Linked DNA regions of Struthio camelus. The protein of the gene in region 1 binds, or shares a complex with, the protein of each later gene. Links are inferred from orthologs where the notes say so. Each region holds a gene or a part of one and is shown in the gene's direction. Other genes may lie near its edges.

Evidence for each region.
Region 2: the proteins of SFN (region 1) and KCNK9 are in contact, whole or in part, in a crystal structure (PDB 3P1P), measured with the Homo sapiens proteins. The link is inferred for Struthio camelus from reciprocal best matches to the Homo sapiens genes SFN and KCNK9. Residues at the interface, in NP_006133.1 of Homo sapiens: Lys49, Arg56, Arg60, Lys122, Asp126, Arg129, Tyr130, Glu133, Gly171, Leu174, Asn175, Val178, Glu182, Leu222, Asp225, Asn226, Leu229, Trp230; in NP_001269463.1 of Homo sapiens: Lys369, Arg370, Arg371, Lys372, Ser373, Val374.
Region 3: the proteins of SFN (region 1) and RELA are in contact, whole or in part, in a crystal structure (PDB 7O6I), measured with the Homo sapiens proteins. The link is inferred for Struthio camelus from reciprocal best matches to the Homo sapiens genes SFN and RELA. Residues at the interface, in NP_006133.1 of Homo sapiens: Glu14, Tyr19, Leu43, Ser45, Val46, Lys49, Asn50, Gly53, Gly54, Arg56, Lys122, Arg129, Tyr130, Gly171, Leu174, Asn175, Val178, Glu182, Ile219, Leu222, Asn226, Leu229, Trp230; in NP_068810.3 of Homo sapiens: Ala43, Gly44, Ser45, Ile46, Pro47, Gly48, Arg50, Ser51.

What each region holds. Positions count from the first base shown.
Region 1 is NC_090964.1:6,831,643-6,834,413, reverse strand, and holds SFN (14-3-3 protein sigma), read left to right. Parts: upstream 1-1,225; 5' UTR 1,226-1,403; coding exon 1,404-2,144; 3' UTR 2,145-2,233; downstream 2,234-2,771. UniProt on the Homo sapiens protein: Adapter protein implicated in the regulation of a large spectrum of both general and specialized signaling pathways. Binds to a large number of partners, usually by recognition of a phosphoserine or phosphothreonine motif.
Region 2 is NC_090943.1:167,692,385-167,696,126, reverse strand, and holds the start of KCNK9 (potassium channel subfamily K member 9), read left to right. Parts: upstream 1-1,406; 5' UTR 1,407-1,493; coding exon 1,494-2,070; intron 2,071-3,742. UniProt on the Homo sapiens protein: K(+) channel that conducts voltage-dependent outward rectifying currents upon membrane depolarization. Voltage sensing is coupled to K(+) electrochemical gradient in an 'ion flux gating' mode where outward but not inward ion flow opens the gate.
Region 3 is NC_090976.1:907,012-910,753, reverse strand, and holds the start of RELA (transcription factor p65), read left to right. Parts: upstream 1-835; 5' UTR 836-916; coding exon 917-926; intron 927-1,410; coding exon 1,411-1,455; intron 1,456-2,480; coding exon 2,481-2,629; intron 2,630-3,162; coding exon 3,163-3,311; intron 3,312-3,742. UniProt on the Homo sapiens protein: NF-kappa-B is a pleiotropic transcription factor present in almost all cell types and is the endpoint of a series of signal transduction events that are initiated by a vast array of stimuli related to many biological processes such as inflammation, immunity, differentiation, cell growth, tumorigenesis and apoptosis.

The sequences.
Region 1 (2,771 bases):
GGGGCGGCGCCGGGGGGTGTTTGCAGCCATGAGTAAAGCGGCGGGTGACGCTGATAAAACAGTTGGCCTCGGCCGGGCGCCGCCACCCTGCCCTTCCCGCACGGCTGCCGCACGCGCGGCGGGCAGCCCGGGGGGTGCAGCCGGCTTGGCCGCGCTGCCTCCCGGCGCAGTCAGCGCCCTGCGTGTGGGAACAGGCTTAATCAGCTCCAGAGCGAAACTGCAGCGTAACATGAAGCGCAGATCCTAATCTGGCCGGCGCGTTTCCAAGGGCAGCCAACACCTGGAGCGAGCCGGCGGGTTTTTTTTTTTTTTTTTTCCTAAAGTTAAAAAAAAAAGAATCATTTCCATCGCGTTTGGAAGAGATCGGCAAAGTCCGCGGCGAGCCGTTCGGCCGGCGGCGCCGCGGGGGGAATCGCAGCGAGGGGGGTGGAGGGGCCCCCGCTGGCCGGCCGGGAGCGGGCGAGAGGCCGAGCCGGGGGCGCCGGGCACCTCGCTCTGGGGGCCCGCCGAAGCCCCAAAACGCCCAGAGTCGTCCCCAAAAGTGCAGCCTCCCGTCGCTCTTCCTCGACCGTCCTGTTTCGAGTTATGGGGTGTTTTTTCGGTTGGGTCCGTCTGGCTGCTGGCAGCCGGCAGCCTGGTAGTTCAACGAAACGAGCTGATTTCACCTTAATTTGGGGGCGGCGGCGGGGGGGGGGGGGTGAGATGGGAGCCGGGAGCGCCGGCCGGGGCTCAGGCAAGCGGCTCAGCCCCGGCTCCGTTTCCCACCTGCCCGGCGAGCCGCGGCGATTCCCAGCCACCGGCGAAAACCGGCACTGATTCGTTGATAGGCTTTTGGGGTGGGCGGCGGGGGAGGAAGCCCCCCCCAACCCCTTTTCCACCCTCTCTGCCCCCCCGGCCCGTTTCCCGCGCCGGCCGGGCGGCGGGAGCCGAGCGCGCCCTGCAGCTCCTGCTGCCGCCCGGCAGCGCCCGGGTGCACCGTTCTGGGGCTTTTTCAAATTTAATTTAAAATTTTTTTTTAATTTGGTCCGCCGCCAGCGGTGGGCCCAGGGCCGGGCCGCCCCGGGGCGAGGGCCGGGCGCGGGGCCGCCCCGCTCGCCCCCCCCCCTTCCCCGGCGCCCCCTTTTTTGCCCGGCGGGGCGATGAATCACGGCAATTTTGCCTCGCAAGGGGCGGCGCGGCGGGGACGGGGACGGGGACGCGGGGAAGGAGGCTGCGCGCGGCCTCCTGGCTCCTCCCGCTCTTGCTCCAGGCTCCGACGCCCGGCCAAAAGCGAATCCCGGCGGCGGCGCTCGGCAGAGGCTCCGACGGCTCCCCAAGGCGACCGGCCCGCTCCTCGCCGCTCCGTCTCCCCCCGCGCCGCCGCTCGCCCGTCCACCCGCGTCCCCCCTTCCCCGCCGCCAGCCATGGCAAGAAACCACCAAGTGCAGAAAGCCAAGCTGGCCGAGCAGGCCGAGCGCTACGAGGACATGGCGGACTTCATGAAGGCCGTGGTGGAGCACGGGGACGAGCTGTCCAACGAGGAGCGCAACCTGCTCTCCGTGGCCTACAAGAACGTGGTGGGGTGCCAGCGCTCCGCCTGGAGGGTCATCTCCAGCATCGAGCACAAAACCGAGGAGGGCGACGACAAAGCGCAGCTGGTGAACGAGTACCGTGAGAAGGTGGAAAAGGAGCTGAAGAGCGTCTGCAACGTCGTCCTGGGCCTGCTGGACAAGTATCTCATCAAGAAGGCCAGCGACGCGGAGAGCAAGGTCTTCTACCTGAAGATGAAGGGAGACTACTTCCGCTACCTGGCCGAGGTGGCCACCGGGGATGACCGCAAGGAGACGATAGACAGTGCCCAGAAAGCCTACCAAGAGGCCATGGACATCAGCAAAAAGGAGATGCAGCCCACGAACCCCATCCGCCTGGGGCTGGCCCTCAACTTCTCCGTCTTCCACTACGAGATCGCCAACGCCCCCGAGCAGGCCATCTCGCTGGCCAAGACCACCTTCGACGAGGCCATGGGGGACCTGCACACGCTCAGCGAAGACTCCTACAAGGACAGCACCCTCATCATGCAGCTGCTCAGGGACAACCTCACGTTATGGACAGCCGAGTGCGCCGGCGAAGACGGCGGCGAGGCCGGCGAAGAGCCCAAGAACTGAGCGACCGCCCCGGGGAGCCGCCGCCGGCTCCCACCTCCTCCCTCCCCACCTTGTTCTCTGTTCTTCCGTCTTCTGCCTCTTTTTTTTTTTTTTTTTTTTTTTGGGGGGGGGTAAGGCATCTCGGCTCCCCGTCCCTCCTCCCCGGCAGCCCCCCCCCCCCCAAAACCGCCTCCCGCATCCCCCCGGCACCGCGTCCCGGGGCGGAGGGGGGAACAAGCGGCAGAGCGGGGCGGGATGCCCACGGGCTCCCGGCGGCTCCGGGGAGCGGGGGGGCGCGGGGCGGCCCTGTCCTTCGCTTGCTGGCGTGCCTTGCTCTGCGGCTTCCCCTTCGCAGCGGGAGGAGGTGACGGGCCGTGGGGGGGGGGGGGGGGCGAGGGGGGGGGCCGAAGCCTCGGTGCATCCCCAATAAAACTTCACCTGCACGCCTGCCTCTGTGCTCTGCGTCGTCGCTGCCCCCCGCCGGGCCCCGGGGCGAGGAGGAGGAGGAGGAGGAGGAGGAAGGACAAGTTGGAGCGGGGCAGGTTCCCACGCAGCCGGCACCCGGGGAAGTAAAGGGGCATCCCGGAGTGGGACGGCGGTGACGGGGGGGGGGGGACACCAGTGGTGGTGACCCCAGAGTGGGCTGCA
Region 2 (3,742 bases), on another chromosome or scaffold:
AGCGGGCGCGGCCACCGGCCCGTCCCGCGCTGCCCTCCCACCGCCACAACGCTCCGCGCCGAGCCCCGGGCCACCGCAGCGAGCTCGGCCCCGCCGCCGCCACCACCACCACCACCGCCACCACCGCCACAGCCCGGCCCCGCTTCACCCGCCGGGGCGTGGCCAGGCTCGGGGGGCCGGGAAGGCGCCGCGCCGGGGGAGCCCCGCGGCCTTTCGCTGACAGGGCGGCGCCGGCGGGGTGAAGGCTCTGCCCGCGGCGGGCCGGGGCCAGCCGCCCCCCCCCCCCGCCCCGCCGGAGCGCAGACACACGCACACGCGTGCGGGCGATGGCTGAGGGGCGCGGGCTCGCTTTTCCCCGAGATGATGTCAAGAGCTTGGGGGAAGGAGGAGGAGGAGGAGGAGGACGGTTGCTCTTTTTCTTAACGGCTTTGTTCTAAAACCCTCCGAAAATAAAGCAGCGCCCAGCCCCGCGCGCCTGGGGAGCAGCCGTGAAAGTAGCGGTTTTTTTTTTTTTCTTTCTTTCTTATTTTTTTTTTCCCTCCCCCCCACCTCGCCCAACCTTTCCTCTTGGGGTTTGTGTCCGTGCGGGGCCGAGCCCCCTCCCTTCTCTCCCGGCCCGGCTCTCTTCCCCCGGCAAAGCGCTCGCTTTCTCCGCTCCTCCCGGCGGCGGCGGCGCCGCCCTGCCCCGCGCAGGTGCCCCGCCGCTCCCGGACCGCCCGGCAGACGCCTCCTCTCCGCCCTCCCTCCTCGCCCGCCAGCCGGGGCGGCTCCGAGCCGCTCCGCTCCGCTCCTCCCGCTCGCCGCGGCTCCTGCGGGGCGCCGGCTCCCCGCCGCTGCCGCTGCTGCCGCCGCCAGGGCCCCGCCGGCCCCGCCGCGCCCGGGGATGTTGCCCCCAACTCCCCGCCCGCCGCCTGACACCGTCGCCGTCCTCGCCGCGCCGGACACCGCTCCGCTACCCGCGCCGCGGCCACCTGCAGCAGCCCGCCTGCCCTGCGCACCGCCGCGGAAGGAGTGAGGCGCCCACCGGCAAGCGCTTAGCCCGACCCGACCCGACCCGACCCGACCGGCTCGGCGCTCGCCGAGGCAGCCGGAGCCGGGGCCGGCCCCCCGCGGCCCTGGGGACCCGCTGCGCCTCGCCTCGCCGCCCGCCGATGGGCGCGCAGCCGCCGCCCGCTCCCCGCCGCTGCCGCGGCACCGCCTGAAGAAACTTGGGACGGCGACGGTCTGCGGCTGCCCTCCGCGCCCTGCCTGTGACCTCCGGCAGCCCTCGCCCGCGCCGCCGCGCAGACTTCGCGCGGGGGGGGGGGGGAGGTGGGTGGGTGGGTGTTGGGAGGAGGAGGTGGGGGGGCAGAACCCGCCTGCCGCAGGACTCCGGCCCGGGGCCCCCCTGCCCCTCGGCCGGGAGCCACCCAGCGCCCCCTTCCCGCGGCGAGAGCGCGGCGGGCACCCCCTGCCCCTGGCCGCGGTGCTGGGGAGCAGCGGCCGTGCCCTGGATGGCCCTGCGCACCGGGACGGCTTGGTTTGGGCAAGTCCTGCGTAGAGTTTCCCGGCTCCAGGGTACCTGGTCCCGGCGCTCCAGCAGCCTCCTGTGCCTCTCCTCCTCCCAGGAGCCCGAGCAGGCAGGCGGGGAGCAGCCGCCGCCGCAGCACAAGCTGCCCCGGAGCAGCGGCGGTGGGCGCCGCCGGCCCCCCCGGCAGCTGCCCCCCTGCTGCGGCTGCTGCGGCCTGTCGGATCCCCGGGCGGCCAGGGGGGGACATGGTCCCCTCACTCGCCCCTTGCTGGCGGCCATGAAGAGGCAGAACGTGCGGACCCTGTCCCTCATCATCTGCACGTTCACCTACCTGCTGGTCGGGGCTGCCGTCTTTGATGCCCTGGAGTCCGACAACGAGATGCGGGAGGAGGAGAAACTCAAAGCCGAGGAGATCCGGCTCAAAGGAAAGTACAACATCACCACCGAGGACTACCGGCAGCTGGAGTTGGTGATCATGCAGTCCGAGCCGCACCGGGCTGGTGTCCAGTGGAAATTCGCCGGCTCCTTCTACTTTGCCATCACGGTCATCACGACCATTGGTGAGTGTCTCACCTCGGGGAGGCCTGCTGGGGCTGAGGCATGAGCCCCCTGTGGTTGGGAGCAAGGGAGAGGGGCAGGGGGCTGTGCAAAAGGTTAAGTGCAAGATGAGTCTCTTGATTCCCCCCCCCCCCCCCCACGGGAACTGTGTTATGCAATTCACTGCTCTCCATGGGCACTTGTTGGACTTGGAGGTGTCCCACACCTCCTCCCCTGGAGATGGAGTCTGTGTCCCCTGGGTGGGACTGCGGAGGAATGACACTGGCCAGGTGGAGGGATTGTCACTGGCCAGGTGGCTACCAGCAAGCTGTGGCCGGGGTGGCAAGGAGGAGGGGGGAAGAGGCATGATGACAACCTCCTCAGCAAGGAAACAAGGCCCTGTTGCTGTGCACCTCCTTCGACTGTGCATGCACCTTCGCTTAAAAGTCACGAGGGAAACTTAGGCAAAAAGCTGCTGGATGCGGACAAAAATGCGGAGAGCATCGGAAATGAATCAGCTGCAAAACCTCTTGATGTAGCTGTGTAGTCCCACTTTTGTAAACTTTGTTTTAACATTGACAAGGGCTGTGGCAGGGGTTCCCTACAGCTGTGGTCCCATAGCTGGGTCTCTCCTGTGCATTCCCAATGCGTTCCTGAAGTTTTCTGTGCAGTTAGATAGTCTGATGTGCCAACAGGTCATAGAGTGTGTCTCCGCTTTGCAGGCACACAGTCAAACTGGCAAAATGATATCGCTGTCACATCTTTGTTGCTGAGCCTAAGTGTGCCACTTCCCAAGACTGTAGAGGGACAGTTAGTGGACAGAGCCACAGACTGTCCTTTTGTACTTCTCTGCTTTGCTCAGCTAAAACAGAGCGTTTCTCATAAAGTTTGCTTCCCTGCCGTAAAAATAAATACCATGATAACTTAGAGGCTGTAATGTGCCAACAGAACTGTGCTACAACTCTTGCTTCGGCTTGATGAACAGGTGTGTTTTCCCTTGTTTTGTATTAATTAGGGTGTATTTGGTGAGGCTGTTGATATGTCCTTCTCACAGCACTTCTAGATGTCCCCCTCTAACATCTGGGGAGACCTGAAAATCTTTCTCTTGTTCAGTGGATATTTGACAATGGATTGTATTGAACAGGACAAGAAAGACTAGCTCTCTCACTAATACGGAAAGACATGATCTTTTCACTGTTTAGAACTTGTTCAGCAAATTTGCACATTTTCACCTCAAGATACTGTCAATTTTCAGCACAATGTCCTGTCCACCATCCTTTGTATTTTCTTACATTTGTATTTGACTTTATTACTTGGGGCAGTAAATATTTTCCTAGGGAAGACCATCTTAACAATCTGAAGTCTATTTGTCCTTACAAAGATAAGATTTTTAAGGGCTAATCTCTTCTTCTGTTTATGTTACTGCATGCATCTATCTATCTATCTATATCTATATCTATAGTATATATTAATAGGCTATAGATTATAGTGCAGAATACAACTTTGGAATAGCGAGGCAAATGAATTAGATTTCCTGTCATTCATTACGATGTCAGAACTCTACTCCTGCTCTGATCACCAATTCTCTATTCCTCGATATGTCTCTTGTCATTTATTTGTGCTAAGTGAATACTGGATTATTATGCCCTTCTGGATTATGTACAAGGTTTACACACACATGCGCATGTACTCGCT
Region 3 (3,742 bases), on another chromosome or scaffold:
CCCGTTATGGGTCCCCCCCCGTTGTGGGTCCCCCCGTTATGGGTCCCCCCGTTATGTGTCCCCCCGTTATGGGTCCCCCCGTTATGGGTCCCCCCCCGTTATGGGTCCCCCCATTATGGGTCCCCCCGTTATGGGTCCCCCCCCGTTATGTGTCCCACGCCGTTATGGGTCCCCCCGTTATGGGTCCCCCCCCATTATGTGTCCCCCCGTTATGGGTCCCCCCATTATGGGTCCCCCCGTTATGGGTCCCCCCCGTTATGTGTCCCCCCGTTATGTGTCCCCCCGTTATGTGTCCCCCCATTATGGGTCCCCCCGTTATGGGTCCCCCCCCGTTATGGGTCCCCCCGTTATGGGTCCCCCCGTTATGTGTCCCCCGTTATGTGTCCCCCCCCGTTATGGGTCCCCCCCCCCGTTATGGGTCCCCCCCATAGGTCCCCCCGTTTTCGGTTCCCCCACATCCGTTCCCCCTCCTTTTGGGTTCCCCCCCCCCCATTATGGGTTCCCCCCCCCCGCCTGGTTTTGCGCCTCTTTTCGCCTCCCTCCGCCGGCCGCAACTGCCCGCCGGCCCCTGCCGCTCGGCCCCGCCCCCTCATTTGCATGGGGGCGGGGCCGGAGCGCGGAGGGGGCGGAAGGGGCGGGGCCGGACGGGGCGGGGCCAGAACGCGGAGCGGGCCGGGGGCGGGGCCGGGGGCGGGGCCTTCCCGGCAGCGGGGGGTCACGTGGGGCGGCGGGGCCACTTCCGCGAATGGCGACGCGGTAGCGGCGGGGCCCGAAGCGGCGGCGGCGGCGGCGGCGGGACCGGACGGTCGCGCCCGGGCGCGGCGGCCCCGCCCACCCCCCTCTCGCCCCGCCCCCACCGGCACCGGGGACCCCCCCCACCCCCCTACCCCTCCCCCCACCCCTCCGCCCGGCCAAGATGGAGAACGGTGAGTGCCCCTCCCCCACCCCCTTCCGCCGGGGGGGGGGGGGCGGGTCGAGGCTCCCCGAAATCGGTGGTTCCCCCCCCCCGCCTCGCCGGTGACGTCAAGCCGCGGTGACGTCAGGGGATCCCCCCTACTCTCCCCCCGCTGGCGGCGGCGTCAGTAGGTTTCAGGGTTAACGCGCGCGGTGGGGGTGGGGGGGGGGTCCCCCCGTCACGTGACGCCGCGGCGTGCGCGCCCCTTCGGTGCGTTACGGTAGCGGCGGCGGCGGCGGCCTTCCCGCACTGCGCCTAATAGCGGCGCGGCGCGGCCGTAGAGCCTCGAAGAGAGGCGCAGCCGGTTTCGTCTCCGCTTTCCTTCCCTCCCTTCCCCCCCATGGCGCGGCAGCTGGTTGGGGGGGGGGCGGGAGGGGGCCCCGGCGTCCGGGCCGGGCTCCCCTCCCCCGCTGACACCCCCGCTCGTCTCTCCCTCCCCCCCCTCCCCCCCGCAGCCGATCTGCTGCCCTTCCTCCTGCAGCAGGACTGGGGCCTGCAGGGTGAGTGGGGGCCCAGGCGTCCGGGGTCGGGGGGGGGGGTCACTCGGACACCTGGGCCCCTTTTGGGGGGGGGTTACCCGGATGCCTGGGCCCCCTTGGGGGGGGGTCACCCGGACGCCTGGGCCCCTTTGGGGGGGGGGGTCACCCGGACACCTGGGCCCCTTTTGGGGAGGGTCACCCGGACACCTGGGCCCCTTTTGGGGGGGGGGGTCACCCGGACGCCTGGGCCCCTTTGGGGGGGTCACCTGGACACCGGTGCCCCTTTTGGGGGGGGTGTTGGGGTCACTCGGACACCTGGGCCCCTTTGGGGGAGGGGTCACCCGGATGCCTGGGCCCCTTTTGGGGGGGGGTCATCTGCACGCCTGGGCCCCTTTTGGGGGGGGGTCACCTGGACACCGGGGCCCCTTTTGGGGGGGGGTCACCCGGGCGCCTGGGCCCCTTTGGGGGGGGTCACTCAAACACCTGGGTCCCTTTTTTTGGGGGGGGGGTCACACGGCCACCTGGATCGCTTGGTGGGGGGGGGGCTCTCCCGGACGCCTGGGCCCCGTTGCAGAGCCGGGGGGGGTGGGGGGGGGCTCTCCCGGACGCCTGGGCCCCGTTGCAGAGCCGGGGGGGGTGGGGGCGGGGGGGCTCTCCCGGACGCCTGGGCCCCGTTGCAGAGCCGGGGGGGTGGGGGTGGGGGGGGCTCTCCCGGACGCCTGGGCCCCGTTGCAGAGCCGGGGGGGGGCGGGGGGGGTGGGGGTGGGGGGGCTCTCCCGGACGCCTGGGCCCCGTTGCAGAGCCGGGGGGGGGCGGGGGGGGTGGGGGTGGGGGGGCTCTCCCGGACGCCTGGGCCCCGTTGCAGAGCCGGGGGGGCGGGGGGGGTGGGGGTGGGGGGGGCTCTCCCGGACGCCTGGGCCCCGTTGCAGAGCCGGGGGGGGGCGGGGGGGGTGGGGGTGGGGGGGCTCTCCCGGACGCCTGGGCCCCGTTGCAGAGCCGGGGGGGCGGGGGGGGGGGCTCTCCCGGACGCCTGGGCCCCGTTGCAGAGCCGGGGGGGGGCGCCCCCTTCGTGGAGATCATCGAGCAGCCCAAGCAGCGGGGGATGCGCTTCCGCTACAAGTGCGAGGGCCGCTCGGCCGGCAGCATCCCCGGCGAGCACAGCAGCGACACCACCAAGACCCACCCCACCATCCGGGTGAGCCCCCAGTATAGACCAGTGCGCACCAGTATAGACCAGTGCGCACCAGTAACCCTCCAGCGCCCTCCCCGCGCCCCCCCTGGGCCCCCAGCCCCGGCGAGCACAGCAGCGACACCACCAAGACCCACCCCACCATCCGGGTGAGCCCCCAGTACAGACCAGTGCGCACCAGTATGCTCCCAGTAGCTCCTCCAGGGTCTCCCAGTAGCCCCCCAGCGGTTGGGGCTGGGGGCTTAGACTCCCCTGGACACTTGGGTCCCTCCCCGGACACCTGGGCCCCGCCGGACAGCTGAGCCCCCCTGTACACCTGAGTGCCACCCGGACGCCTGGGCCCCTTTCCGGACACCTGGGCCCCTCCCCGGACTCCTGGGCCCCCCTTCCCACCCACCGTAGCTGAGCGCGGAGGTTGGGCTCTGCCCGGACGCCTGGGTCCCTCTTAGCGGTTCTAACGCCCGGGTTGGGAACACGGGGGCAGAGGGGGGTTCCCGGACGCCTGGGCCCCTCCCCGGACGCCTGGGCCCTTGGCGCAGATCAACAACTACCGGGGCCCGGGGCGAGTGCGGGTGTCGCTGGTGACGAAGGAGGCGCCGCACCGGCCGCACCCCCACGAGCTGGTGGGCAAGGACTGCCGCGACGGCTACTACGAGGCCGAGCTGGCGCCCGAGCGCAACGTGCACAGGTGAGCCGGACGCCTGGGCCCCTTTGCGAGCCGGACGCCTGGGCCCCTTTGCGAGCTCGGATGCCTGGGCCCTTCGGGGGAGAGGGACGGAGAACGGGACGCGGCGGCCGCTCCGAGGCCGAGTTGGTGCTCGAGAGTGACGTCGCGCGGGTTGCCCGGACGCCTGGGCCCCTTCTCGGGTAGCCCGGGCGCCTGGGTCCCTTCTCGGGTAACCCGGATGCCTGGGCCCTTCAGGGTTTGGGGCGCGCGTTAAGTTAGGGACCGGACGCCTGGGCCTCTCTTGGGTAGCCTGGATGCCTGGGCCCCTTCTCGGGTAGCCCGGATGCCTGGGCCCTTTCTTGGGCAGCCCGGACGCCTGGGCCCTTCAGGGTTGGGGCACATGTTAAGTCGGGGACCGGATACCTGGGCCCTTCTCGGGTAGCCCGGACACC